2 linked regions of the Ovis aries genome follow. The protein of the gene in region 1 interacts with the protein of each later gene in a biochemical or structural test. Links are inferred from orthologs where the notes say so. Each region holds a gene or a part of one and is shown in the gene's direction. Other genes may lie near its edges.

Region 1 (14,385 bases):
ACTCAAGGAAGGGGGATACTTTGGGAAGGAGGTGGGGCAGAGTAGGGGGCCACACTCCCCTGTCCTTTTGTGAGGAAGCCTGAATCCTGCCTGTCGAAACCAGGAATAATTCTGGCCAAAATCCCAGGCCCAGCAGAGGAGCTGAGTCATGGTAGAGGGCAGAGTAGAGAGTGGATGGGAGACCCTGAATTGTCCAGGCAGAGAAAGAAAGACTGAGGGACGGCCTTTTTTGAAAACTAATTTTCTGAGTGGCAGGAAGAAGGAGGAGGCTCTGAATCAGATGGGGGCCAGATGGAGGGGGAACAATACAGGAATCCCTTTCGGGACTGGCTCAGGGAAGTAAGAGACCCTTGATTTCCAGGAGCGCAGTCCCTGGCGGTTCAGAGGGGGATGTTTGGGATTGCCAAGGCACCCCCCCACCCTTCCTCCTCCCAAAGCTCTGATGACACTGCCACCCTCTGCCGGCTGGGAGACAGCGTTGCATCTTCCAAGGCTGGAGCTGGAATGCAGCGGGACCAGAACTCCTAGGTCCTCCCCAACTTCCTTTCTCCATCTTGGGGTGCGGCTCCCACCTTCCTCCTGCTGTTGTCAGGGTTAATAACCGTGAGCCATCGGATGGAAGGTTAATACGTCCTAAGAAGGGACAACTGAATCGCTTTCTTGTAGGGATGTCGGCCAGTGGCCTCCCTCCCTCCCACACCCAGGACCTCCTACTTCTTCCTAGACCATCCTTCTCCCCTCCATGCCCTGACTTCTTTTGGTCTGTTCCAGGCCTTGGCCTGCATTTTTATGACAACACAGGAATGATTTCTGGAGAGACAGGCCAGGAAGAGGGAAAGTGGAGTTTGGCAGGAGGGAGCGGTTAGTCAGGAAGCCCGCCGCCTGTTGTCCAGGACCCCAGCGCACCGGCCTCGGACTGCAGGCCTCTCCGGCTGCTGCACAATGCCACGTTGATACACCCAGCAGCTGTGACTCAGGCCTGGCCCTGCGCCAGGCCCAGCGCCTCTGCTGGAGTTGCGTCTGAACATGTCAACAGGCCTCCTGTCCCCCTTCTCAGCGCCAGCCAGTTCCCCCATCCCAACCCTCCCTTTGCTTGGAATTAAGACCTGGCTTTGTCTGGGGTGAGGACAGCTGGGAGCCTAGCAGCTCTGGAAGGGGAACCGAGGGCCCTCGGACCCCGAGCATATGTGGTGGATGTCACGCCCAAAGGAGGCGTGCGGAAGCAGAGCTGTGCCTGCTGTGGGTGCACGTGCCGGGGTGGGAGGGGTGGGGGCGGGGATCCATACTGGGATCCTCCCGTGTACTTTCCAGGTGTGAGACATTCAGACCTTCCACAGGGTGGCATGTGGGGAAGGTTCAAGGGGCTTCTCAGTCCCTAGAACACCTGCCCCTCTCAGTGGATCTCCTTAAGGTCTCCTTTCCAGAGAGGGCTGGGGCCTTGAAAGCCAGATTGCGGAACCAAATGTCCCTGCCCTTCCACATCCTGCCCATACCTGAGAGTGATGGCAGACTCACAGACCAGCCTAGAAACCCAGCAGTGGTTCCTCCTGGGAGAGGGAACTGCGGAACCTCATGGCTCCACACACAGCTGTGGCGCAGCTGATGTTTGAGTGCTCTTTTGCTAGGTATCTGTGTCATCACTTGGGTACTAGGGTGACTCCTGGCCATTGAGCAGAAGCCCAAGTGCCTCCCGGACACTCTTCCTGGGGGTTTACTGCCTACTTTCTGCGAGCCCTGCATGCATCGTGCCATTTTCTGAGCCTGTCTCCATCTGCTCCGAGTGTCCTCAGGTGACCGGGAGGGCAGGGTTTTAGGGTCTGAGCCTACTCTTCTGCAGGCCTCGGTTTCCCCACCTGTAAAAGGGCAGGAATTGTTCCAGGAGGTTCCCCCTTAGACACCTTGAACATATGAATCTTCTGGCCTCAGGGCATTTGGGGACATACAGAAAAAGCCGCGAGACACACTTATAACTGGAAAGAGAAGAAACCAGCACGTAAAACAACAGCTGAGCGGACTTGGAAAAGGAGAGAGAGGTGTGGCTGGGTCTGGAGGCACAGGGCTCAAACGAAGGAGGCAGGTGTGGGTTTGGATAGGTGGAGGGAGGGAAGAATACATTGAAGTGGGAGGAGTTGCTGGAACAAAAGGAGGGTGATAGGAATGTGGGGGCCCGGCGTGGGGTGGCCACAGGATAGACCCCGTCACCTGGCAGGGAGTCAGCCTGGGAAGAGGTGTACATGTCTGGGAGGAGAGGGGAGGGCTGGGACTCACTGCTGCACACCCAGTCCTGCTTTGCCCTGCCCAGCCACAGGGGGCTCCCTTTTTAGTGAGGCAGGAAACGCCAGGGCCTCGGGGTCTCGGTGCTCCCGCCTCCCCTCCCCCCTCTTCTCCGCCCGTCGATGGGGAACTCCGAGGGCTGGTGAGCCTGGGGCGTGGTCAGCGAGGGGACTGGGGCGGTCTGAGGGCGCCCTGGCGGGCTGGCCAGGCTCTTCCACTGCCCCTGTGGCCATCTGCCCCGCCCACTGATTATTTTTAGCCCCAGCCGGCTGTCTCTGCTCGCCTCGTGTTCCTCAGCCCAGCGGAGGAAATGGGGGCCTTTCCCTCGGGGCCTAGCAAGTTGCTCCCAGCAACCCGGCCCAAACAGGCCTGTGGCCGCCCTGGCTTCCATATCTGGCATCCGAGCTGGGCTGAGGAGGCTGACTCAGCCGGCAGGTCAGCGCCTGGCGCGGTGCCCACGCAGCCCCTTTGCTGCGCCAGGCGCCTTGCTCCCCCCCCCCCCCCCCCCCACCCCCGCCCAAGAAGCCCCTAAAGCCCTGCCCTGCAGTGGCCCTGAAGCCCGGCTCCCCTATCCCTCCAGCCTCTGCCTAATAGCACCCCAGCCTGGGAGCTCCCAGCTCTCGTGTGTGTGTGTGTGTGTGTGTGTGTGTGTGTGTGTGTGTGTGTGTGTGTGTGTGTGTGTGTGTGTGCGTGTGCGTGTGCGTGTGCGTGTGCGTGTGTGTGTGCCTGTGTGTGTGTGCCTTATCCTTTTCCTCTCTGCTCTCGTGTGTGTGTGTGTGTGTGCGTGTGCGTGTGTGTGTGCCTGTGTGTGTGTGCCTTATCCTTTTCCTCTCTGCTCTCCTGCCCTGCCCCACCCGACTTTTCCCGCCTTCTGCGATCAGATTTGCCAGCCGTGGGAAGAGTTCAGAAACAGGATGCCCAGCCCTTCTTGTATCAGGAGCCCACTGGGATGAACCCACTCCAGTGCTGGAGGAGCCTGGCGGATGGGAGGGAGAGAGTGGGCTCCCCGTGGCGTGGCATGGGGGCCTGGGCAGGACGTGGGTACAGCCAGGGTCTCCCGTGTGAGCACTAGAGGATTTCCTGACACCTGCCCGGGTATTGTCTGCTGGAGGATGAGTCACCTGTGGAGCCCCTGGGTCCCACCCTTCCCAGCTCCCCTTGCCTGCCCTACCCTGTTCTTCCTGCCAGCCCACTGTGGGGCAGCATGTGCCCAACTTTCCCATTGCTGGCCCCCAGTGGACTGGGGCACAGGCAGCACCGCTCCTTGGGCTGAACGCCTGGCCAATGTCTGCTTGGGATCCCTGTTAGGGCTGGGGACCCCGACTAAGGAAGCAATGTCAGTTGGAGCTAGTGGACAGGCAAGACTGAGGAGGAGGTTCGGGAGGCGCTGGCTTCTGCACCCCACCCCCAGCCATCTCTTGCGGGGTGCGTGTGGCTCCTGGCCACAGGGCTCCTGAGGTCTGAGTCATAAGCCCATGGGTGATAGCGGCTGCTTCCCCACAGAGGGGAGCTCCCGGAAAATGACTGAGAAAACCACAAAGGCTCTTCCTTGCTTACCTCTCTGCTCAAGTGGCTTCCCTCATCCGCAGAGTGTATGTCGGTCCTTTCCTTGCAACTCTTTTAATGCTAATCAGAGTCTCCAGAAGGGGAAGGAAAATCGCCCCCTTAATTTCTTTGGAGACCATTAGCAGGGCAGGGGGAGCCATCCGGCACCCATTCACACCTCTGCTCCCAGACTTGCTGCAGGATCCTGGAGGCCCCCTGGGCAGAGTTCTCTGAGCCTGTTTCCTCCGACACCTAGGACTAGCACCTGTCTCAGTGGGGAAGCTGTGGCAATTCAGTTAATACAGTTTTTAGAGCAAAGAATCGGACACCACTTGGTGGCTGAACAGCCATAACGTGTACACAGTCAGCTCTGTTTGCTGTCATTATGTGATTACCAGTATTAGTCCTATTAGCATTAATATGGGCATTACTACCACCCACCTTTGGGAGCGTCCTAACTGAAGAGGTTAGACTGAAGGACAAAATCCTGCAGTTGTCAGGCTGTGAGCCCCGGAGGGCAGGGACCATGCAGCTACATTTTCCTGTGTCAGTGTCTGCCTGGCACTCTCACAGGAAAGGTATTTCCAAGGAGAACTTCTGAAGTTTCTCCTCTGGGTCTGAGGAGGCCATGGAGGCGGGACTAGGGAAGAGACGCCCTCGAGACGTCTTCTGAAAGCGTCATGGTGCTCTGTCCTGCTGCTCCCAGCTCAGGCTGGCTGGATCGGGAGCCCTGTATCCTGCTGGCTCGGTTCTCTCTAGACCTGTGGCTGAGGAGGAGGAGGAGGAGCAGGGGGAGGATTCCTGATCAGCAGCCAGAATTGACTGTGACTCCGCCTGGGTCCCCGGAGCTGCATGCTGTGTTTGACATGGGGTCACTCACCTTCCTCCTCTGTGCCTCAGTTTCCTCATCTGTAAAAGGAGGGGGTTAAGCGGAACCTATGCGAAGCTCCTCCCAGTTCTCTTAAGTTCTGAGAGCCTCCCAGCCGTTAGCCTGCAGGGCAGGGAGGCCTGTTCTGGGAAGTCCCTGCCAGCCCTGGAGTCAGCCCAAGGAGCTCAGAATCTTTGTCTGCCGTGTCGCTTCACTTTACCAGCGGTTTTTCTTCTTCTTCTTTCCTCCCCCTGCAGCTGCCTCAGCTTCGGAAAAGTTCTGAAGTCATGGAAAGTTGGGGCTGTGCTCCCAGCCAGGGGATGGGCCGGATGGCAGCCAAAACCTGAGCTGGGTTTTGACTTTATTTTTAGCTTTTCTGGCTAAGACGGAGGAGGGGAGAGCTCCTTCAGGTCTGGAAGGGCCTCTTTTCACAGGAGACAGACACTCTTGCTCTAAACAGCTTGTTCTGAAATGTGGCCAGAGGCCTGGACAGAGCAAGGCTGGGGGTGCTCCCCCGAGATCTTCACGTCCTTCCCCTGCCTGCCGGGGTGGCACTCTGTCCCCCTCTCAGTGGACCCCAGTTGGAGGGGAGGTGACTCCTGATTGAAGACTTCTAAGCTAACGGCAGAAGCACACTGCCCCAGTCTTGGGCCCTCCGTCCAGAGCTTCTCCTGCTGGGCCTTCTTCATCCTTCTTAACACTGAATTGCTGGGGCTCCTGGAGCTGCAGGCTTGGTGGCAGGAGAAAAATGTTGGCGGGGCCACTTCTCTGCTTTCCAGGATAGATTTCTTTCTCCCCCTGCCCACATTTGCTTTTCGTTTTTTCCATCTGCCCAAGTGGGTTCATGCTTGAAGTCTGCTGAGTCGCAGATGGCAGCTAGGACTAGGCCCTTGGGTTCTTTCCTTCCACTCCCTGGGTCTAGTGCTTTCTCTCCCCACACATCGGTGAAGGGATCATTCCGACTGGGAAGTTCTTGCATTCCCCAGAGGTCTTTAAGAAAATAGGATCCGTCTATTTCTCCAGGTCACTATCCAGCAGAAATAATCAGGGGCCTGGGAAGGGAAGGGAGGTGGCAGAGGCCACCCCGTTTGAACTGGTTCTAGGTAAAGCTTTACCCAGTTTGAGGAGTGTGGAGGTTCAAGGCTGGAGCCCAGATGGATCTGGAGGCCTGGGTCACATCTGGAACCAGATGCTGGGCTTGTGGTCGATAGGTTGGGCTCAGCATTCTCAGGCTCTGATGAGGCCGAGAGAGAGGGAAGGCTGGAACCCTTGTGCTCTGCCCCATCAGGGGACCCAGACTGGGCCTGAGAAAGGGAAAGATCAACACAATGCCTGCTCGTCTTCATTCCAGGTCTCCCTGAGCTTTGACCAAACTTTCCCTCCCAGCAGTCCCTGGTGTGTAAAGGGACTAGGGCAGGTGACTGACACTTTTAGCACTCAAACTGATAAGCGTCAGGCACACTCAGACCCCAGGGCTAGGAGCCTGGCAGTCTGGATCCCTGCAGAGGAGGAGGCTGGGCTGAATGGAAGGTGGGTGGAGTCAGGGGGGAGAAGGTTAAGGCCCTAAGTGAGAAGGGGCAGGAGACAAAGGTGGTTCTGTCTCTTTGGAAAGGAATGGGAGGGGAGAGAGGGAAAAGCATTCAGCTCATGGGATTGAGCTTTGCCCTTGGCCCCAGGCACGTTCCTGAGCACTGAGTCATGGGAAGGGTGGAGAAGCAGGAAAGGGGTTTTGGGGGCCTTGGGAGAGTGGGAGTCCAGCCCCAGAGGCGGGCAGACGCAAACAAACCAGAGCCAAGGATGCCCTCTCCTGGCAGCTTGGGGGATAGCAGAACCAGGTCCTGCCGCTGACCTCCCAGGACCTGACTTCTCACTCTCCCTGGGAGACCTAACTCTGTCTAGGAACGCAGACTCCTCCTCTTAAAGCCACTCTTTTCTGGCTTTTTCAGCAATTCCAAGAAGGAGGGAGACCTGATGGCCGCCCAGGCCCGGCTCAAGGACCTGGAGGCTCTGCTCAACTCCAAGGAGGCCGCACTGAGCACTGCTCTCAGCGAGAAGCGCACGCTGGAGGGCGAGCTGCATGACCTTCGGGGGCAAGCGGCCAAGGTGAGGCCCACCCGAGACCCACCCAAACGCAGGCACCCTGCTCCCTGCCCAAACGCACACTCACTGCTCCCTCCAGGCATTCTCAGGAGGCGCCTGTCCCACCGCATCAGAGCCATTCCTGTGTCCTAGCATTGCTGCATCCATCCAGACCACAGTGCTTCCTCCTTTGCTCCCCATGGTGTCTAGCACCATGAATTTAAAAGAATCCACAAACCGTTTCCATCTGACTTTGAAATGAATTGTGCCTGGCCCTGGATCCCTCCCGTTTGGCCTTGCTATAGACAGCCGTGACCTCTCTGGAAGATCAGAGAAGAGTGTAGACTGTCCACAGAGCCCTAGTTGGGAGCTGATGGCTGACCATATATGGACGTATGTTTTTAATGTATACGATGGTCTTTACTTTCAAACACTTTGCTATCGATTCCAGCGTCTAGTCTCATGGTATAAGCTAGGGAACAGAATCAAAGAAGCAGGTTTGTTCCCAATCTGACCGCCACATCTGCTCAGAGTAAGGTCAGGACTAGAGTCAGCCACCAAGCCTCTGTCCAGGGCGCTCTTCCCTGCTAGGCCTTGCCACCAGAGTACACTGTGGAGAGACTAGGAGAAATCAGCAGTTTGGCCAGAAAATCAAGGCTGGGCCATTCTGCTCCCAGGCCCTGCCCCCAGCCCTTCCCAGCTGCACCGCCCAGGTTGTGCTTTCTAAGATGAAGATCTAGGAAGGGTGCACCCCTACTCAGGCTTCAGACGATCTTTTCGTGGCAGTAAGGGTGCGATCCATGGATCCATGGCCCAGCCCCTGCCTTCCAGTCCAGACACCTCTGCCGTCACTCTCCCCCCAGGGCTCCATCCTTCGGCTTCAGCAGTACTGAGCCTTCCGAAGCGCATGTGTGTGCTTTCGTACTTCTGCGCCCTTGCACTTGCTCCTGTCTGCCCACTTGCCTGTCCTTCAGATCTCAGACTCTGGAGGCCTTCCTACAAGCCCCCCACTACCACCCCAGGCACACTTTGGTCCCTTCCCTCATGTTCCTTCTGTACTCTGGGCATATTTCCGTGGCTGTAGCAAAATACAGCTATAGAAAGAGGAGGCACTCTCTATATTTTCATTAGCACAGCAACTCTCCAAGGTCATTACTGTGAAGTAGATGCGTCATCACCTCTGTGGGCATCCAAGGCTCTTGCTTCCTTAGGCCTGTTTCTCCACATACAAAGGGAGGTGCTGGACATGACCCCCTTCTCAGCTTCCTTCCAGCTCTGGTGTCCTATGACCCCTCTCCCTGACCTCTGTCCCCTTCCTCTCAGCTCGAGGCAGCCCTGGGTGAGGCCAAGAAGCAACTTCAGGATGAAATGCTGCGACGAGTGGATGCTGAGAACCGGCTGCAAACCCTGAAGGAGGAGCTGGACTTCCAGAAGAACATCTACAGCGAGGTGGGAACTGTGCCCTGCAGACCGGAGGACTGGGGCTGGGTGGTGAAAGATGTCAGAGCTGGGCTGGGGTATCAGCTGTGTGCAGAGCTCCCCGGCCAGGCTGGCTTGTTCTAGTGATGGGGAGTCGGGGTGAGGGCTGGGGGGAGTGGTGGCCAGCCCCCAGGTTAAAGCGGAGCTCACAGTGACTTTGTTCAGTGTTAGGATTGGGCTGGGAGCTCAGCCACTTGGGCCTCATCCTCAAAGGCCTAGTTCTGATTTTGGTCTCTGGGTCCACCCCTTCCAGGAGCTCCGTGAGACCAAACGCCGCCACGAGACGCGCCTGGTGGAGATTGACAATGGGAAGCAGCGAGAGTTTGAGAGCCGGCTGGCGGATGCCCTGCAGGAGCTGCGGGCCCAGCATGAGGACCAGGTGGAGCAGTACAAGAAGGAACTGGAGAAGACCTATTCGGCCAAGGTGCTCATTCTCCCGGGGTTCCCATGCTGCCACTGTCCCCAGCAGCCCTCCCTGCTGCCCTCCCTGAGATGTCCTGTGGGAGATCAGGTGGACGGGGCCCCGGATTGCTCCGGACCTCGGGCTGCAGCAGCGATGTCCTTCTCGGGTCCCTGCCTCCTTCCTGGTTGGTCCCTGCAGCCCTAACCCTATGTCCTCTCTCCCAGCTGGATAATGCCAGACAGTCAGCGGAGAGGAATAGCAACCTGGTGGGGGCTGCCCACGAGGAGCTGCAGCAGTCCCGCATCCGCATCGACAGCCTCTCGGCCCAGCTCAGCCAGCTCCAGAAGCAGGTGCTGCCCCGCCTCCCCCCCCCCCCCCCCCCCCCCCCCCACCGCCCCTCCCCTCCACCGCCCCTCCCCTCCCCCATAGGGCCGGCGCAGAACATGCCCCGAGGAGCATGGACTGAGTAAGAAGCCTGGGATTTGGAGCCACATGACCTGTTTGCTGGTCCAGGACTACCTCTTATCTCTTGATATTTACCTGCTTGACCTTCACTTCTCAGAGCCTAGGTTTTCCCATTTGAATATGGAGATCATTCCTGTCCTCCCTAACTCAGATCTGCCACAAGACTACAGTGTGAGGTGTTAAAAGTGGAAAAAAAAAAAGAGTGAAAGTGTTAGTCACTCAGTCATGTTTGACTCTGTGTGACCCCACAGATTGTAGCCTGCCAGGCTCCTCTGTCCATGGGCTTTCCCAGGCAAGAATACTGGAGAATGGGTAGCCATTCCCTTCTCCAGGGGATCTTCCCAACCCAGGGACTGATCCGGGGTCTCCTGCATTGCAGGCATAGTGAGGTGTTAACAGCATCAATATTGTCGCTGGCTGTGCCATTTGTAGCAGAGGAAATAGGTTCTAGCCTCAAGTTAAGAGATTTCAGTTGGATGTTGAGAAGGACTCCGCAGTCGCCAGCCAGCCCCAGCCACATTAGAGCCCATGAAAGGCTCTGATGGGAGCCTGAAGACAGGGGTGGGGGAGGGGGTGGGAGGGTGTGTGCCCCGGGGGGGTGCCCCACCCCTATCCCTTACCTCTCCATACTCGGGGACCTCGAGAGCTCACCAGACCCCCATTCCCCCTCAACCAGCTGGCAGCTAAGGAAGCGAAGCTGCGGGACCTGGAGGACTCGCTGGCCCGTGAGCGCGACACCAGCCGGCGGCTGCTGGCGGACAAGGAGCGGGAGATGGCGGAAATGCGGGCAAGGATGCAACAGCAGCTGGATGAATACCAGGAGCTGCTGGACATCAAGCTGGCCCTGGACATGGAGATCCACGCCTACCGCAAGCTCCTGGAGGGCGAGGAGGAGAGGTGGGCTCCGGGGCGGCAGGCGGAGGCCCCTTCCTCCTGCCGCCCGCCACCCGCCTTGACCAGGCCCCCTCACCCCTGCCTCCCCCTCCACAGGCTCCGCCTGTCCCCCAGCCCGACCTCGCAGCGCAGCCGAGGCCGGGCCTCCTCCCACTCGTCCCAGACCCAGAGTGGGAGCAGCGTCGCCAAAAAGCGCAAGCTGGAGTCCACCGAGAGCCGGAGCAGCTTCTCCCAGCACGCTCGCACCAGCGGGCGCGTGGCCGTGGAGGAGGTGGACGAGGAAGGCAAGTTCGTGCGCCTGCGCAACAAGTCCAACGAGGTAGGCCTCCCAGGTCGGCTTAGGGAGACGACCTGGACGGTGAAGGGGTGGAGTTTGCGGGGAGGGGGGTTCCTCACATCAGACCAGGGCAAGTGTGGGTATCTCCTCCACGCTCCGGTTCCATTCCTGGCCCCGGGACTCATCAGTGCAGTGAGACCTTCTTGGACAATGTATTTAACCTCTCCTAGCATTGTCATCTGCAGAACAGGCATGAACAATGGCCCCTAACTTTTGAGTTCTTGGGAAGATGGAAGGACTGAATAGGTCTGGTACAGCCTAAGTGCCCCTAGATGTAGCTGTTGTTTATCCTTGAAGGGGGAGAGCTGTGAGGGGAGGAATAGAAGGTGATAAACCCTCTAAGAGCCTGAAGTAGCCTCTCTCACCTGCCCCTTCCCTCTCGGGCAGGACCAGTCCATGGGCAACTGGCAAATCAAGCGCCAGAATGGAGATGACCCCCTGCTGACCTACCGCTTCCCACCAAAGTTCACTCTGAAGGCCGGGCAGGTGGTGACGGTGAGTGGCTGGGTGTTTCGGATGACCTCGGGTGGGGATGGGCTGGCCTGAGGCTGGGTGTGCTGGAGCGTGAGTGCCCTTCTCTAATGAATTCTCCATCCCCCAGATCTGGGCTGCAGGAGCTGGGGCCACCCACAGCCCCCCTACCGACCTGGTGTGGAAGGCGCAGAACACCTGGGGCTGCGGAAACAGCCTGCGCACAGCTCTCATCAACTCCACTGGGGAAGTGAGTGTGCTGCAGGCTGGCCTCTCACTGGACAAGGCTTCCCCCGCAGCCAGAGTCGGAGGCAGCTGCCCCCAGGCCAATTCAGGGCCGCTTTCTCCCAGGGCCCAAACTCTCCACCCAGAGATAGCTCCCCTTGCAGCAGGAGGGGTGGGGGTTAGACAGTGAGCATGGTTAAGGGCAGATCATGCTCCTATCCAGAGACCTGGACAGCACGTCCCTGGAGTAGAAACAAGTGTCTTACCTCCAGCGCCCCGGAGGACAGAGCAAGTGGCAGCCTGGACGGGGGGCAGAGCGCGAGCAGGCTCCTGGAGGTCACTGGGGTGGGTATGCTGCACACCCTTTCTCCGACCTGCAGCCCCTAACCCTCAGCCTTGTCCTGTGTCCGCGGCAGGAGGTGGCCATGCGCAAGCTGGTGCGCTCAGTGACCGTGGTCGAGGACGACGACGATGAGGATGGAGACGATCTGCTCCATCACCACCACGTGAGTGGCAGCCGCCGCTGAGGCCCAGCCCACGCCAGGGCACCCAGCCCGGCCTGGGGACACCCTCTCCCTGGCCTCCCCCTGCCAAAAAATCTTTTCATTAAAGAACATTTTGGAACTTCACTCGCTGCCCTGGCTTTTCTTCTCTCTCCTCCCTATACCTTGAACAGGGAACCCAGGTGTCTGGGTGCCCTACTCTGGTAAGGAAGGGAGCGGGAACTTCTGATGCCACGGAGTCTTCCCATGGGAGCGGTGGACAAGAGTCCGGATTTATCCCCCGGGCGGGGAAGGGAGGACAGACGCGGGGCACGCAGCCCTGCCTCTCTCCGCCCACACTTCTCTCGCTTGCATCTCCTTTCTTGTCTCCTCCTCATCCTGGTCACGTGCATGGCCTCTCGTTTTCCCCATTTTTCCTGGGAGAAGGGTCTCTTGCACCTACCCTCCTCCCAATTAATTTTGCATGCCTGCCGCTCTACAAGCTTGCTGACTCTCTCTCCTTTCCCTCTGAAGCTTAGAGTAGCTAAGACAAGAGTCAAAGCCTGGCTCCCGTCCCCTGCCTGTCCCCAAGTCTTCCTGACCCTTCCTCCTGTCATGTCCTTCCCTTCCCCTCTTCCCAGCCCAGGCTCCCCACCCCAAGCCCTATACCACCCACCAGTTAGGTTACTTAGGCGCAGAAGCCCACCTTTCTGCCTGGACCCTGCCGGAGCGCGGAGCCTGGGTGTTGGGCCTGAGCGGTCAGTCCCAGACTCGCCGTCCGGCCTGAGCCTTGTCTCCCTCCTCAGGGCTCCCACGCAGGCAGCAGCTCGGGGGACCCCGCCGAGTACAACCTGCGCTCGCGCACCGTGCTGTGCGGGACTTGCGGGCAGCCCGCAGACAAGGCGCCTGCCAGCGGCTCGGGAGCCCAGGTGGGCGGATCCATCTCCTCTGGCTCCTCCGCCTCCAGTGTTACAGTCACTCGCAGCTACCGAAGTGTGGGGGGCAGTGGGGGTGGCAGCTTCGGGGACAGCCTGGTCACCCGCTCCTACCTCCTGGGCAACTCCAGACCCCGAACCCAGGTGAGTCGGCCCTCTGTCTCCAACCCCCGGCGGGCAGAGGACCCTAGTCCTCCAGGGTTAGGGCCAGGCTGCCCTGTGGGAGGGAGAGCCTTCTCTTCCGCAGCCCGGGGGAGTGGGAGCCTCCTCCCCGCAGCCCAAGATCCTAGAGAGCGGCTGCTGCTCCTGCGTCCTGCCCCTCCTGTCTGAGCCCCAGATTGGAGGGCAGGGGCGGGGCTGGGTTAAGAGGGGAAGGGAGGGTTGGCCAAGCACTGCCACTCACGCCGCTTCCCTCTCTCCTCTCTTTTAGAGCCCCCAGAACTGCAGCATCATGTAACCTGGGACCTGCCAGGCAGGGGTGGGGGCGGAGGCCCATGCTTCTTCCTCACCTCATGCCCACCCCTGCCCTGCGCCTCACGGGAAGGGGTTCGAAGCCAAAGAAAAATACCCCTTTATTTTTTCTTCTATGTTTTGTTTTTTGTTTTTCTAAGAGAAGTTATTTTCTACAGTGGTTTTATACCGAAGGAAAAACATAAGCCAAAAAACCCCGCGCGCATCTCTCTCAATTCCCCCCCTTTTCTCCCTGCTTCCGAGAAACTCCGTATCTGCCTTAAAACCAAAGAGGGAGCCGAGGAGAGGGGATGCTTTTACAAAGCCTCGTTTCTGCTTTTCTGCCCTGCCCGCCACCCCCATCCCGGGGACCCCGTGACATGGTGCCTGAGAGGCAGGTGTGGAGTCTGCTCTGCCAGCCTCCAAGGGAGGAGGGCTGAGCCTCGCCCCTGGGCCAGCCCCCATCGTTCCACTACCCCCCGCAGAGGCTCCTCCGCCTGCCCGCCCCCGCCCCCCCTCTCCCCAGCCCCGGGGTGACTCGATTCTCCCAGGTCCCAGCTGCGTTTGCTTCTTCTGTATGTTATTTAGACAAGAGATGGGAATGAGGCGGGAGGTAGAAAGGTAGAATAAGGTTAGTCTGAGCCTGCCTTCACCTAGCTTTAGAGCCAGGGGTGGGCTCTGCCCAGTCACTGGAGGTCGATCAAGGTCACGTGGGTGTAGGGGAGGAGGGAGAGGGAGGCCTACTAGGAAAGGGGAGAGCCTGCTGGGGCCCCACCGAAGGGGAGGAAGGGGAGGAGGTGTGGAGGGCTTGCGGCAGTGGGTTTCGGCAAACACTAAGGAGCCCCTTGCCTCCCGTTTCCCATCTGCACCACTTCTCCCTGAATCAATACACTAGTTGTTTCTATCCCTGGCTGCCGTGGTGTCTTTGTTGGTGGGTGTCCTTGTGTGTTTTCTGAGGGTCCCATACACATGTCACTCGGTCACCTGCATCGTCACGCCGCCCAGCCTCCCCCTTGCTCTAGGGAGACAAAGACCGCAGAGCTTCAGGTGCACAGCTGGGCACCCAGCAGTGGCTGCTGGGGAGACGCTCTGACATGAGCATTGCCCACCCAGTGCAGGGCTGTCTCCATGAGTCCCGCAGAGAGGCAGAGCCTGAGGGCAAGCATTTCCTTCCTGACTTCCTTCAGCCAGCACTTAGCGAGAAGCTTCTTTGTGCTAGACCCTGAGCTCAGCATGAATACCAAGACACATGATGATACAGACCCAGTCTGAGGACGGGTGACTGTCTCAGGACCCGGGGCAAGGGCAGATGGGGAGGAGGGAGTTAGCAGGAAAGGGGCAGGACTGACTTTGCAAGCACGCAGTTAATGTCCGTCTGCGCAAGACTGTGCTCACCTCGGAGACAGGGAGATGGACAAGACCGTGTACTCAGTGTTCTCAGGGATCTTACACTCCAGTGGACTGCTGGGGACAAAGGT
Region 2 (14,943 bases), on another chromosome or scaffold:
AAGGGGGACAGAAGCCCTGGCTGCCAGCCTTAGGCTTCTTCCCTATTTGGGGGGTGATAAGAGATGGGGCTCTAACGAGTTCTTGTCCCCAGGGGACATAGTATCACCACCAGGTGGCGCCCCATCCCAAAGCCCCCAGATAGGGCAGTCCCTGGAAGCTGAAATACAGCTCTTTCATATTTTCCCTTATTTGGAGTCGATTTCTTGGATGTTGTTAGACACACCCCGCCTCCCACCCCAACTCCTTCCCTCAGACCCCAAGCCAGGCCCTCCCACGGCTGGTGAAAGAGAGGCACAGGGTGGCAGGAGAGGCTGCCCAAGCCCAGGTGTGGCAGGCAGGCTGACAACGCTCCAGGGCTGAATTCCCACCTTGACTGCGCTGCTAGGAGCCCGTGCAGGTGGGTCTCCCAGCGGCCGTCACCTACTCCTCCTGGCCCAGGAATTGGGGTGGGTGGGGGTGGGGGGCTGGCCTTCACATCCTGCCTGGCAGTGAACATCCAGCTCAGAGCCAACCTGGGACAGGGCCCAGCCTCGAATCTAGCATGGCCAACCCCATGTGCCCTCGCCCCAGTGGAGCGCAGCAGCCCAGAAGCCAGCCCCACACCTCTACCCAACGCAGCCAATGCCCAGAGCACTGATGTCAGGGAGGAACCGACCGTCGACATCCCTCCTGGGGGCATATTGGCTGCAAAGTGTCTTTCCAGGTGGCCTCTCGCCCTGACCCCACACAACGTCCTGCTTCAGAGCCCTGCCTTCCTGGACAGTCATGCAATGACCTGCCCCCCAGTTCACCCTCCCAGGGCACCCCCATGGCTGTTGGGCTCTCACACTGCGGGGCCAGACCCAGATTCCCCAGGAAACCAGGGAAGGCGGCTGCACCACCACACCCCGGCTTGCAGCTGGCCCCGGGCACCCCACCACCAACTCCGTGAGCTGCCCGCCGACCACTCTGCTCGGTGCCCGCCAACCGCTCCGCCCGGTGCCCGCCGCGGACGCCTCACCTTCTCTCCCTGCGGGCGGCCGGCGGCCGCGGGGTGGCGCCTGGCAGATCTTCGAGCCCGCGCCTGGCGCCTCGGGGCTCTGCTGGCGTCTGCTGCGCGCCGGGCGCCTCCACGCGAATGGGCCGCTGCCGCCCGCCTTCTTGTTGGCCGCACCCCCGCCCCGCACCCGGCCCGACTCGGCCCGACGAGAAAGCCTTAATTGGTAAAAATCACCCAGGAGCGGGGCGGGGGGGGGGTTTCGAGGGGGGGCCCCGCGGGGGCGCGCCGTGAGCTCAGGCGCCTGGGCAGCCGGCGACGCCCCCCTACCCCCGTTGAGATGAGCTCACCCTCTGCTGACGGGGAGGGGCGGCCCGGAGGGTCTGCAGAGCCTGCGTCTCGGCCCAGCAACGAAGGCCACCTCCTCCAGGGAGCTGCCCAGTCTTGCGCCGCCCCCCTACCTTTACCCCAAGCCTGGGGCTGGTCGGACTAGTTGGATTCTACCTTGGAGGGGGAAGTGCAACAGGCTCTAGCAGGTATGCACTGAGAGCCTCCCACCTGAAAGTCTGCACGGGGGCAGGGACCTGAGCCCCAAGACAAGCCAAACAACATCCCGGGCTGGCATGGGTTTGGCCCCTGCCCAGTGCCAGGCCTGGCCTGGAAGCAAGCAACAGAAGTGGACTGAATTCTCAGCAGCACAGTTAGCTGCAGTCCTGAGGCCTGGGCATGGACAGTGGGGTGCAGCCGAGGAGCCAAGCGTCTGGGGAACTAGGTGGGCACAGCCACACCCTGGCACTGCCAGGCTCCCTCTTCGTCTTCTGTGTGCCCATTTCCTGGTATTAACAGCGTCGTATTCAGCTCAAATGTCACTTCCTCGGGGAAAGCCACACAAAGCAGTGTCTTCTCACTGTGCCCACAACCCCCACAAAGAACTGCATCTTACATCCTGAGCCAATATTTGCAGGCACACACGCAGATCGACACAAATGGCTGAAATAAACGTTCCACGAAGTGAGACTGTCCCTTACCACCTGAAAAGCACTCTGATCTTTCTTCTTTTATTCTACTTCATTAAAGGAGAAAAAGCAAAGAAGGGAGCTGCTGCTGCTGCTAAGTCGCTTCAGTCGTGTCTGATTCTGTGTGACCCCATAGACAGCAGCCCACCAGGCTCCGCCGTCCCTGGGATTCTCCAGGCAAGAACACTGGAGTGGGTTGCCATTTCCTTCTCCAAAAAGAAGGGAGGGAGGGAGGCAAAAGGGGAGAAGCAGGAAGGAACAGGGGGGAAGAAAGGAGAAGTCTGCTGTCACCTGCTAACGTAGTTTGATATCTACAGCTGCACACTAACAGGAAGGCACTGATTGCCCTCCAGGCCTCTCCGCAGCCACTGCTGCCTTTGTTGGCAATGACCTCTCCACCTTGACCCCAGGTGAGATCGCCTAGCAGTGGCCTCGGTCTCTGTTTCTCCCCGCCCCATCTAGTGGGATCCACCCCTCCGCCCCTCACGGCAGTGGGTTATCCTCCCTTGATAGATGAGCAGTCTCAGTTTAGGTCCACAAGGTAGCTCATGGCCAAGGCTATCCTTCAAGGAGGGACACCCACCTGCCAGAGGCATTGCAATGGGAATCAGTGTACAATAGCTGGGGTAGCAGAAAGGAAGTGATGGCTTCATGGCTGGATCTCAGGACCCCCCACCTCCGTTTTAATCCTCTCTTTACTCTCTCTCTCCCCTCCCTCCACACCCCTGAGACACATGCAACTCAGGGTCTCTACTTTTCCAGGTCTGGGGGGAATGAAGGTTTATATAGCACCAGCTCTTCCCTGGTAAAAGATTTTAACAAAGGCTTTTGCTCCTTGTGTTGATGGAGAAGGAAATGACAATCCACTCCAGTACTCTTGCCTGGAAAATCCCATGGACAGAGGAGCCTGGTGGGCTACAGTCCATGGGGTTCAAGAGTCGGACAGGACTTAGCGACTAAACCATCACCTTGTGTTGAAGGTTCCACAAAAGCACTAGAAGCAGCTCCATTCCTGCTGCCATGCCGACTGTCCCAAGGCAGACTGACGTGTCCTAGGACTGGAACACAAGGTGTCACCTGAGAGGTTTTTGGTCAGCTAACCATTCCCTGCTATATATTGATTGTGACAACCTTCCAAACGGTCATTTTCACACTAGTCACCATCTTACAACTTTTGTTACCATCTGAGCCATGTTTTAAAGCATTCGACTGCTAGGCCAAACCCAGAGGATCTTTAACATCCTTAAAGGGAAAAAGTAAGCTTTGTATTGTACCAAAGGATTCAGGTTCTGATCTTAAAACATTAATCACTCAGTGAATGTCTCCTTGGACCTGTTGAAAAATGTATTCATGTTGATATTACTTTTCCTTACATTTTTTGATGTTGCTAGGATCACAAGTTACATAATCTATTGCTTAGAATCCTAGTCCTTAAAGGTGAAACTGTCTTGTTACTGACTTGGAATCAGTGGCTTCCAAGCCCTTTTCGCCTCAGCCAAAGTTCCAAAGAAATGCTTGCTTTTAACTCTGCCCACTCTTCCCAGGAAGACTCCCCTCAAGGCCCCAGATTTCCACTAACAGCTCCTCTGCTGACTCGGAATCCCCAGTGGGCCACGCTGTCCAGGTTATGACCCCGAGGGCTAGGTACTGGCTAGGGGAACATCCATGAATGAATTGTTGCCCTGGGTGCCCCTGTATAAGTCCCCTCCTTCTCTGGGCCCTTAATTCCTCCTCGATGTCATTGTGGCAGTGCCAAGGGCCTCTCAGCTCTGATGGTCAAGGGCTTGCCTGGTTTCTAGTGGTTTGAGACAGGTCTGCCTGCAGTGGGGCTGGCTTGGGGCTCCAGGTGGGCTCATGTGCAGGAGACCATCACAGGTCAGCCATGTGGTGCCATCTGTGGTGGGACCTCATAGTGGGGCAACTGGGGGAGAGGGAAATAAAAGGCAAAGGGCCAAGGCAGGTGCCGGGGAGGGGGTGCTCCCAGAGGAGAAGGCAAACTTAGAATTCCTTGACCTCATAAGGAAACGGCTTGGGTCTGTATGGGGCGGGGGTTGGCAAGGGGAGGCTGGCCTCCGGGACAGGGGCCAGCACTGCAAAAGAAGGCTTAGAGAGGTGCTGGGGAATCTGATCTGGCCCAAACTCCAAATTCCGTGAAGCCGGCTCTGAGGAGCCCAGAGCCCAAATGCCATCTCCCTCCCTGCTCAGAGATAAGCAGCAAGACCCTTGCCCTGCCTGGGGGCGCTGCCCCTCATCCGACCATGCATGCGTGGGGCCCTCATATTTTGGGAGATGGAGAAAGCCTCATTTCTAAAACCTGGCCAACAGCAACCTTGAGGAGGGGCTTCGTATGTGGTTAAACCAGGGCCCTATCTTCTCTCCACCCCATGAAGGAACTTTTGCTGAGACCGAGGCTGTGACCCTCACCAACTGGGCCAGTCTGCCAGCCTTCATCTCAGTTCCGGGAGAGGCACTTAAGTTTCCCCTCATTCCATTGGCTGGCTTTGTTAGAATGTCACTGTCATCTTCTTCCTAATTTTCATGGGACAGCTCTTCCTGACCAAGGCTCTCACCAACTCCCTGTGACAGGCCCTGGCTGCCTTCCATGGTTTGCCCCCCTCAGTCCCCTGGCCCCCCTGTCTGGGAGGCTCCCTCTGCACTCCCACGACCCTGAAGCCCACTGAGACCCAGGTGCTCAGAGTGCATTATCGGAAGCCTGGGGCAGGTCCCTCTGGCAGCCTCCTGGGTCACGCTGGGCTCAGGGGCCATCCCAGCCACGGTGGGGAAGCCCCTCGCGCCTCTGGTGCACTGCCGGTGGGTGAGGCAGACACCCGCCATCTCGGCATCACAGGGCGCCCCATGCCAGTGCCCATTGGCATGCCCGGGCCCCTTCCAAGGCTGCTGGCTCCTGGAGGGCCGGTGGCCTCCTGGCCCAGTGCCCCATTTCCTCTGGGGTGCAAGGGGAGGGAGGGAGGCGGTGGGAACCGGCGGGCGCAGGCCAGGATCCTGCAGAGCGGGAAGGCGTGCTGGGGCAGGGGGTCTGGGGCTCTGGGGGGCGGTTTATGGTCAGGTGGCTACAGGCTTCCTTGGTGTGGCGCGCGCGCGCACTGCGCGTGCAGCAGCGCCTAGTCTGGACCCGTGCTCTCCAAGGGCTTGCCCCTTCGGATCAGGCCCCTTCTCGCAGCCGCCGGCGACGCGCCCGCCTGGGGCGCGGCCAGGGACCCGCAATTGCTGGAGCAGAGGGGCAGTTGAGACCGAGCGGACTCCACGTGACTCAGGGAGGGCGAGCCCCGCCCAGCGCGCAGCCCCGCCCAGCTCCCGCATCCTGCCCAGTTTCTGCCGGTTGCATGGCCACAGGCCCCGCCCCTCCACCCTTCTGACCCAAATAGCCGAGCGGGTGACGTCGCGGCTCGCGGGCCCCGCCCCGCTCCCAAGCCGGGGCGGGTCTAAGCTAGTTCCCGTCGCGCCCAGGCCCCGCCCCCTCGCTGGGGTCCAGCCCTAAATGCGCCAGCGTGTGACGTCTCTGGGCTCGGGAGCCCCGCCCCTCCCCGCCCATTCGCGAGGCTCCACCAATCTGCGCTGGCAGCTCTCTGCGAGGCCCGGCCCCGCTCCGCACAGCGCGCGCTGCCCGCGGAGACCGAGACTGTGACGCGGGCGTGACGCGCGCGTAGCCGCTCCCGAGGCACTCCTGTTTCCCCTGCCGCGCTCCGAGGCCATCGTCTCTCGGCCGGTGTTGCAAGGCCCAGGCCTCCCCCAGGCCTCCGCCGCCCGCTGCCCGCCATGGACGACTACGCAGTCCTCTCGGACTCCGAGCTGGCCGCCGTGCTGCGCCAGTACAACATCCCACACGGGCCCGTCGTCGGTACGCGGTGGACGGAGGGCGGGCCCGCTCCCCGCGCTTAGCCCCGCGGCCCCCTCTCGGCCCGCTCCCTGACCGCCCTGTGCCCCGCGTCTGATCAGGTTCCACTCGCAAGCTCTACGAAAAGAAAATCTTCGAGTATGAGACCCAGAGGCGGAGGCTCTCGCCCCCGAGCTCGTCCGCATCCTCTTTCTCCTATCGGTTCTCGGGTGAGGCTCCCGTCCCAGGGCCCCGCCTGGCCGCCCTTGGGGACACGGTTTGGGGGACGCTGAGGAAGGGGTCGCGGGGGTGTGGCCAGGGCACTGGCTGGAAGGGGCGCGGGGGAAACGGGAGGGGACCCCTGTGGGCCAATGGTCCTAGCCCCTCCCCCATTCAGACTTAGATTCGGCGTCCGTGGACTCGGATATGTATGATCTGCCCAAGAAAGAGGACGCCTTACTTTACCAGAGCAAGGGTAAGGCAGGGGTGGGGTGGGCACTCTGACACCTTCCTTCCAGTGTCAGCCAGAACCTGAGACCTCAACCCCATGCGTCCTGCAGTAGCCCTGCAGCACCCCCCCCCCCAATGGGATTCAGATTAGGGCCATCGGGCCAGGTGGGGACACCGTTGCCCCTTCTGCTACCGCTGCCCCCCCCTTCCTAAGGCTATAATGATGACTACTATGAGGAGAGTTACTTGACCACCAGGACTTACGGGGAGCCTGAGTCTATGGGCACATCCAAGGGCTTCCGCCAGCCCTCAGCTTCACTCTCAGATGCTGACCCCTTTCACCGCCAGGTGAGCTGAGTTGTCGGGCACCCTGTACTTGGGTACAACCTGAGGGGGTCCTCATGGGGTTTGGATGAGTCAAGGGAACCACTGGGCACAAATGGTGGCTCAGAAACCTCCAGGGAGAGGTGGGGCCTGCAGACACCTGCCTGGTCAAGACCTTTGGGGTGGGGGAAGGGGCTGTCAGAACTGTTTTGACTAGTGTGCCCAGGACGTGCCCTGGCTCTGGTCTGGGATCTAGGTTTGAGCTCTTTTTGAGAATTCTGGGGCAGAAAGTAGGATGCAGGCAGCCGGGACAAGTGGCACGGCCCTGCAGACATAAGGCTGAGGACCAAGAAGGGGGTCTGGAGGGTGGCAGGGCCCAGGCCTTTAATCAGTGTTCAGAACAGGCTGGGAAGGGCAGTTTGGACTGAGGGTATGACCTGTCATACCTACACCGACCCTGTCAATAGGTATTCTCATTCTGATTCACTTCTGTAGGTCCGTGATGACAATCTTTTCTCTTTGGAAGAGGAAGGCAAGGATCGGTGAGTATTAAGGCGAGCCAGGGGCTGGGGCTGATTCAGGACTCAAGCCCTCCTGGTCTACCTACTGCACTCTTTGCCTCAGGGAACGCCTCCTGTATGGCCGGGACAGTGCCTACCAGAACATTGCACACTACCGCCCTATTTCCAACATCTCCAGAAGCTCCCTGGGCCTGTCCTATTATCCCACATCCTCCTCCACCTCGAGTGTGTCCTCATCTTCATCTTCGGCCCCTTCGTGGCTCACCCGCAGAGCCATCCGGCCTGAAAAGCAGGCCCCTGGGGCTGCCGGCCTGAGCCAGGATCGCCAGGTCCCGCTCTGGGGCCAGGTGCTGCTGTTCCTGGTCTTTGCTGCCTTCCTGCTCTTTGTTTACTACTCCATGCAGGCCGAGGATGGCAACCCTTTCTGGGCAGAGCCCTAAGGGTCTGACCTCGTACCTTGGAGGCCGGCTCCTCTTGGAAGCCCTGGCTGACTGCCTTATCAGTGTTTGTTGGGGGAGGGGGGTTGGGGCTTTTCTGTGTGTTCTAGCTTGGGGTTACCAGGACATGGGCAATGTTTGCTGACCCCTGCCCTGTCCTGCCAGGGAGGCAGCAGGCCTGGGCCCTCTGCGGCATGGTGGACCTGGGTGGGCCTGCCTCTGGATCCTCCTGGCCCTGCTTGCCTGTCACCCTTCGGGCCTAGGAGGGCAAGACCCTTCTCCTGGAGAGGAGAACATGGTTTTGGTCATCGCATGCCTCCTATTTGTCGTCACCTCATGGGGGGATTAACCAAAGGCCACCCTGAGTTTGTTTTCGTGGACACAATAAAAGACCATTTATTTTTAATGTGTGGGTTCTTTTCTTTAACATGGGGAGGGGTTGGGCTGCCCCCCTGCTAAAGGCTTCCAGGCCTTGGGTCTCCAGAATTGCCATCCAACTTTGTCAGTTCATCCTTTCGTCCTTTGAGCCTGAGATAGGGATCATAGGCAACCCATAAACTCATTTATGTTTTGCTTTTGGTGCCCGCTCCCTGACATGTTACCAGAAGCTCTTGTAAGTGCTTATAAAAAATAGTCACACAGAGAGCCCACTGGGAAACGCAGGTGAGGCTGCTTGCACCGTGTCAGTTCTGGGTGTTTCAACTGGGACCAGCAGACACCAACTGTGGTGTCCAAGGGCAGAGTGATGGGAAGGAAATGAGGCATCTGCTTGATGGGCTGCTGGAAGGCTGGTTGTCTAATGACAGGGGAAGGCTCTCAGTCCTCTGGAATGTTTCATCTCCTTTTAGTAAACCAGTTCCTCACCTGGGTATTACCACAAGGTTTTCTGCTGTGGGCATTTAACAATTTTCACAGTTTACATGTGATTTTAACATCGAGTTGGAGAAAGAAATGGCAACCTACTCCAGTATTCTTGCCTGGAGAATCCCAAGGACAGAGGAGCCTGGCGGGCTACAGTCCATGGGGTCGCTAAGAGTCTGACACGACTGAACGACTTTCACTCACTTAACATCAAGTGCTAAGGAAACATGGGGTAGAATGCCACACTGTTCGTCTGGGCTCCGCACTGCCTGTAGAGGGCAGTAAAGTCTGGAGAAACAGGCACACAAAAGGGAAGCAAAGGCACCCCCTGGGCCACCATTGGGTGGGACCCTGGCATCTCAGCTCTGACGGGCTCCTTCGTACAGGTGGCAGGACTTGGCAGGGCCTGCCCTCTCACCTGCACGTGCACCATGGGCTCCTGAGCCTTGGGGCTCTCCGCTGTCTATGGCCGCTGGGTAAGCTCTGCTCAGGGCCAGACTGGAACCTTTCTACCAAAGCTTCTGGACACTTCTTTTTGCTGCATCCTAGTCTCCGCACTTTTATGGGGTGGGATGGGGTGGGCGTTTTCCTAAAACCAACAGGCTTTCTTTGTGCATTTCAAATACACCAAAAAGAAATGGCTTCTCATATTCTCACCCCTCCCAGAGCCCCAGCCTCCCTCGTTTGCTGCTAGGCACTCCCACCTGACTCCTGTGGCACCCAGTCCACTGTGGCCGGGACACCCCTGAGCCCCCAGCATCTGTCTCATGCCATCCTAGACCAAGAGCTGAGACACGGATGCTCCGTGGTGGGCGGTGGGCATGGGCAAGAGGTGTGGCCTGCTCATCTGTGACCACAGGGGCAGGTGGTCAAATTAGTGAACTGGAGGGTGGGAGAACAAGGAGTCCCATCGTCAGGGCATCAGAACTCCACAGGGGCATGGCGCAACATCTCATTTCGGCAAGTGATCTCAAGTGCTCCTCCTGGGGGTGGCTGTGCAGCGGGAGACCCACGGGGTCCTGGTGGAGAGGAGGGATTGCAGGGAGGAAGGGGAGAGAGATGGCATGGCCTCTGCACGGAATGGTCCCCTCCGGGCTTCAGATCGTCCATCTGCAGGGCCGAGGGGGAGGCTAGATGTGCTTGGCAACCACTGCTGTGTCTGAAGGGAGACAGAGTTGCCTCCCAGGTGACACAGTCTCCCCCTTTTATTTCTCATGGGTGACGACATCCATTGATCACCATGCACCAGACGGAGGGTTTCTGAGGGCCTTGCTTCAAAATCACTGCTCCAGGGCACTGAGATACCCTCCTCCCAGAGAGCTCTCCTGAGGACTCTGGACCTCCCTCCAGACTCCCGCCAGGCTTAGCCTTGCTTCCAAGGCCCTGGACCCCCATAAGGGCGCCTGAATGCCTCCAAGTGCTCTGGGCACCCCAGCCAAAAGCTTTTGAGGGCTCCGTGAGCCCCCAAGAAACATCAGGCTTCCAAGTCCCCACCTAGGGCTTTCCAGGGCTCTGAGACCAACCTCCAGGCTCCTGCCTGGACCATGGGCTGCAGTGGTACTGGGAGCACAGCAGGGGGCAGCAGCTTCCTAGCGTGCAGGACATCTCCTGCCATCTTAGGTACCACCAGAGCGGAGTCGGGGGATGGTAGTGGTGGTTGGCAGACATGGAGGAGCCTAGGAGGCCCTGGATGAGGCAACTGAGCTGGTAGCTTGGGACCCTGCCAGACAGCCTGAGCAGCATCCCTGGTGGAGCACAGAGAGAAGTGCCCGGGAGGTATGGCAAGCAGGGGGAGCTCCTGATGCCACCCTTGACATCAGCCGCACCCTCCCCCCGCCCCCAGGTCTAGGGGAAGTAGCAGACAGCATTTCACAATCTAGGACCACTCCGACCTTGACCACTCTACTGGGCTAGTCCCAGCACTGAAGAAGCAGCCATCCAAGAGTGGGTACAAGCCTGTGGGTACAAGCCCGTGGGTCCACGAGGATGAACCTCCCCAAGGAACTAAAGAAAAGGAGGGTGTCACTGTTACTGCCCCTGGGGCTGGCCTTTGGCCTTAGGCTCAGCATACCCATGCCCTGGAAACTAGCCCCAGCCCCTCCCCAGGGCAGGCAGGAGCTCAGTAAAGTCCCCTACCACTGGGGGGAGCCAGGTAGGGAGGTCCTCCCAGAAAGCCCCCTCTCACCTCTGCCGGCCCATCAGGCACCAATCCCCTACCTGGACTCACCCAGATTCTCCTGCCTGCTGCCTGGACCAGCCTGCCAAGAGCAGACGGTCCTCCCTGCCATCAGTCTACCCTGCCATCCCGGGTTTCAAAGCCTGCCTGGTGGGGGCCCCTGGAGGGAGAATGGCCCCAGAGGAGAGTGTAACCAGGAGTCCTGTCCCCTCCCTGGATAACACATCGCACCCAGATGGTCATGAGGCCTGCAGGGCGGCAAGAGGAGAAGCTGGAATGTGTAGGGGGAACGATCCTGAGGACAGCCCTGAGGAGAGGCCACGGGCCAGACCAGGCCAGAGCCTCGACCAGGCAGGGGAAGGAGGGAGCGAGACAGGGCGCCACCTCTGGAGGGCTTCTGGAGAGGAGGACACGCAGATGGCACCAGGAGCCCATCTGCTGGGGACAAGCGGCATGAGACCTGGCCCCCCCGGAGCAGAGGAGGGGTCCAGCCACAGGTGCCCGCCGGGGCCCTTCTTCCCTACTAAGCCTGGGGAGGGGGTGTCTGGTCACCCTGTGGGGAGTGGCCCCTGCATCCTGCAGGTCCTGTCTGCTCTGAGTCAGGGGGATGGGGGAGCTGATCACTCCCACACCACAGCCGGCCCGCCCCGCCCCGGGGCACCCCTGCACCTCACTCTCCCTTGTGCCCGCTCCCCCAGGAGGGTGGGCCGGACCTAGGTGAAGCGAGGGGCACAGTGCCCCTCAGGATGGGACGGCACCCACCCACAGAGAGAGAGCCTCGGTGTTTCAATGATGGCGATGGAGGTCTAGAGACCCTTGGAAGTCCTGCACGGCCCCCAGTATGGGCAGCCACACCCCACTCGAGGGCGCAGGACTAGGGCACTGATGGGCACCCCACTGGAACCCCGACGGAGGCAGTGAGCCAAGGGGGGAGCAGCTGATATGTTAGGGTCAGTAAACGTGAAGAGTGATGGACGCTGGCCGCCAGGAACTCGAGTGTGTGTGTGTGTGTGTGTGTGTGTGTGTGCATGCATGTGTGCCTGTGTGTGTGTGTGTGTGTGTGTGTGTGTGTGTGTGATCCAGCTCCAGGTCCCAGCTGTGGACAAGTAACAGTCAGCAAACATGCATAATGGATACTGGCCGCCAGGAACTCGAGTGTGTGTGCATCTGTGCGTCTGTGTGGATCATCCAGGTCCACGTCCAAGCTGTGTGTGTGTATCATCCAGCTCCACGTCCCAGCTGTGGACAGGTCCCCAGAGGACAAGGCCCGCCACCTACAGCAGCCTCCTCCACAGGCCAGGGGCACCCCCAGGAGGACTTATGCACTCGGCAAGGGCACGCTGTGCTGCTCAGAGATCAGGCTGGCCTCAGCCAGCTCCACCACTCGCCACGGATGTCTGCAAGGTCCCCATGAGCCCAGGGAGGCCTCAGCCCAGGGAGCAGGGCTGAATGAGGGGGACTACTCCGGGACCCAGCACTGGCAGAGGCTGGGCTGCTCCAGATGCCTGAGCTCCTGAGGGCAGGCACCATCATGCCCGGCGGGCGGAGGACGAGGACGAGGGTGAAGCCCGGGGCAGGCAGACAGTGGGGCGGGGTCAGGGCTGGGCCGCTGCCCAGACTGTGCCCGTCCACCAGGCGGGTACCTGCAGGAGCTCCGCAAGCCACAGCGCCTGGGAGGCAGGAGAGGGAAGACACTGCCCATGCAGCCCTGGGCCTGAGGGCAGGCTTGAGGAAGGCAGGCCTGAGGAGGGCAAAGATGGCAGGGCAGCCGGCCCCTTGTCGGTCCTTGTGCCTGGGGCTCAGGGGCTGCAAGGCGGCTCTACATAGGGGAACAGTCAGCGGGCCCAGGAGTCTGGGACCACAGGGGGCTTGAGCCTCTCCAGGAGACCCCAGGACCCTGCAGTGGCCCCACATCCTGCCCCACGAGCCACGTCCACGATCCCCGAGGACAGGCCCCGCAAGCTCAGCCTCAGCCTCTGCTTCTGCCCCGGGACGGAGACAGAGAGCCCGGCTCTCCCGAGGCCAGGGTTTTCAGGCTCAAGAAGAGCGTAGTGGCCATGGACGGGGCCAGGAGCTTGCGCCAAGGGCCCCAGCACTGCCCAGAAGCAAGAGGCAACAGGAGGAGCCCTCACCGCCCACAGAAGCTGCATGACACATTCAGAGCCACCAAGCGTGTCACCAGGAGTCCCGTCTCAGTCCCAGCCAGGAGGTGGGGCGGTGGGCACGTCCCCCATGGGCACAGCGGGAGCGCCTTCCTGGGACCAACGGGACACTCAGCTGCCACCCCAGGCTGGCACCAGCCCAGCCCAGGGCTACCGGGCACAGTCATTGAAGAAAAGGGGCTCATCAGCCTTCACCCCCTCAACGGGGGGCCCCTGAGAAGGAGGGGCTGCGGGCAGGGCTGACCACAGGGTGGGGACGCCTCGGAGGTCAGAGAGCACGGGGCTCAGGCCTGAGCACTTGCACAGCCGTGGCGTGCACGGGCTGCCAGGGTGAGAAAGCTTTTGCACCCGTGCCCAGGGCTGCACCACCAGCTGGGATGGCCCTTCGGGCTGCGGACTCCTGGGAGGAGGGCAGAGGGCACACGCCACGGGCTCTGCGGGCCATGCTGGGATCATCACATGGTCTCTCTTTCTCTGGCTTTCCGTGTGTTTGGTCTGCAACCATTTCAAGGTGAAAAGCCACTCTGCCTGTACAACACACACCTGGCATGGCTTGGTTCCGGGCTGCAACCCGCCACCCCTGCTTCCACAAACGACACATTCCTGAGGGGTCTGGGCAGCCTGGGAGTCCCACACCCGGGCTCAGGGGCAGGGACACTCCTTGGAGGCTTCTCATGCGGCACGAACATGAAGAACCCAGGCCCACGCAGGTACTGCTCTCTTCTCCACGGGGTGACCAGTGTGAACCATAAAACCACAGCAGAGGCGAGGGAGTGAGTTATGAGACAAACACTTTGGCTTCCATCTCGGGGCTGCTCTGTCTCTCTGAGATCGCTGGATCTGGGGAAGGCCTGACCCGAGCAGCCCGGTGGGGAGGGACCGTCCCCTGCCGCAGCCCCGTGAACCCTCCAGAAGCAGAGCCTACCCCCCTCCCGCTCCGACACCCCAGGCAGACCAGAGGGCTCTGGCCCCGGAGAAGCCTTGACTGCAGCCTGTGATGGACCCCAGGCCAGAAGCCCCAGCCAGGCCTTCTAGAATCCTGTCCTTCAGACACCTGGGAGATCACAAGTGCTGGTTGTTTTAAGGGACTACACGCCATTTGGGCTAATTTGCTATGCATGCTTGCGTGCTAAATCACTTCAGTCCTGTCCAACTCTTTGCAACCCCATGGACTGTAGCCCTCCAGGCTCCTCTGTCCATGGGATTCTCCAGGCAAGAGTACTAGTGTGTGTTGCCATTGGCTTCTCCAGGGCATCTTCCCAACCCATGTCTCTTATGTCTCCTATGTTGACAGGCAGGTTTTTACTGCTAGCGTCACCTGGGTAGCCCCTTGTTATTCAGCAATGGGTAATTTATACACGATGACTTTAAATGGACAAGATCACCCTAAGTCAACTGGAAGAAAATAAACCGACAAGAAACCCCAGAAACCATTAGGAAGAGCCTGGAAAGTCTGATGACACAAACGCTAAGATCGTCTGCCTAGTCAAACACAAACCCCAAACCACCAAGTCAAGAGACAAGTGACAAAGTGGGGCAAAAAATATTACCAAGATGTGACTCAGGGCTCATATCATTAATGTATAGAGAACTTGAACCAGTCAATAAGAAAAGACTAACAACTCAAAGGAAAAGGGTGCAAGAGAGGGCCTTGGTAAATGCCAATCAAAGCGCCACCCCCCCACCCCACCCCCGAAATGATCCCACTGCAAGAATGTACTCGGGGGCTGGGGTTCCAGAGCTGCTGGTTCTGGGCACATGGGGCAGCTGGACACTGGCATTGCTTTTCATCTGTGGCTCCAACTGGATGGCGGGCCATCCTGGAGCCAAAGACAGACCAGCCTCGGCAAAGACTGGCCAAAGAAGTGGGTGGTGGCGCTGGGTGTTGAGGAGGTCTGGACAGCATCACCCAGGAGCTGGGAGATCCTCTTGGTGAGGAACGTGTGGCAGGAAAGGCAGTGGCTTCCCACCAGCGAGAGAAGGCTGACCACACCTGCAGACCAGACAACTGTCAGGGCAGTTCCTGGGCAGACAACCCCCTTGCGTGTGTGCTAAGGTACTTCAGTCGTGTCCGACTCTTCGCAATCCCATGGACTGTAGTCCACCAGGCTCCTCTGTCCATGGCACTGAGGGCTGCAACCATAGGTGGTCCTGGAGAACAGGAGTGCTTGGGCAAGATTCCCT

What was found.
Region 2: the proteins of LMNA (region 1) and EMD form a complex in vitro, tested with the Homo sapiens proteins (4 studies listed by BioGRID and IntAct, with this or other methods). The link is inferred for Ovis aries from reciprocal best matches to the Homo sapiens genes LMNA and EMD.

What each region holds. Positions count from the first base shown.
Region 1 is NC_056054.1:106,142,863-106,157,247, forward strand, and holds the end of LMNA (lamin), read left to right. Parts: intron 1-6,633; coding exon 6,634-6,790; intron 6,791-8,089; coding exon 8,090-8,215; intron 8,216-8,498; coding exon 8,499-8,669; intron 8,670-8,872; coding exon 8,873-8,998; intron 8,999-9,789; coding exon 9,790-10,010; intron 10,011-10,103; coding exon 10,104-10,326; intron 10,327-10,731; coding exon 10,732-10,839; intron 10,840-10,945; coding exon 10,946-11,065; intron 11,066-11,456; coding exon 11,457-11,546; intron 11,547-12,328; coding exon 12,329-12,601; intron 12,602-12,887; coding exon 12,888-12,914; 3' UTR 12,915-13,811; downstream 13,812-14,385.
Region 2 is NC_056080.1:80,064,012-80,078,954, reverse strand, and holds EMD (emerin), read left to right. Parts: upstream 1-5,646; 5' UTR 5,647-5,770; coding exon 5,771-5,852; intron 5,853-5,950; coding exon 5,951-6,058; intron 6,059-6,225; coding exon 6,226-6,303; intron 6,304-6,492; coding exon 6,493-6,626; intron 6,627-7,097; coding exon 7,098-7,144; intron 7,145-7,226; coding exon 7,227-7,563; 3' UTR 7,564-7,966; downstream 7,967-14,943. UniProt on the Homo sapiens protein: Stabilizes and promotes the formation of a nuclear actin cortical network. Stimulates actin polymerization in vitro by binding and stabilizing the pointed end of growing filaments. Inhibits beta-catenin activity by preventing its accumulation in the nucleus.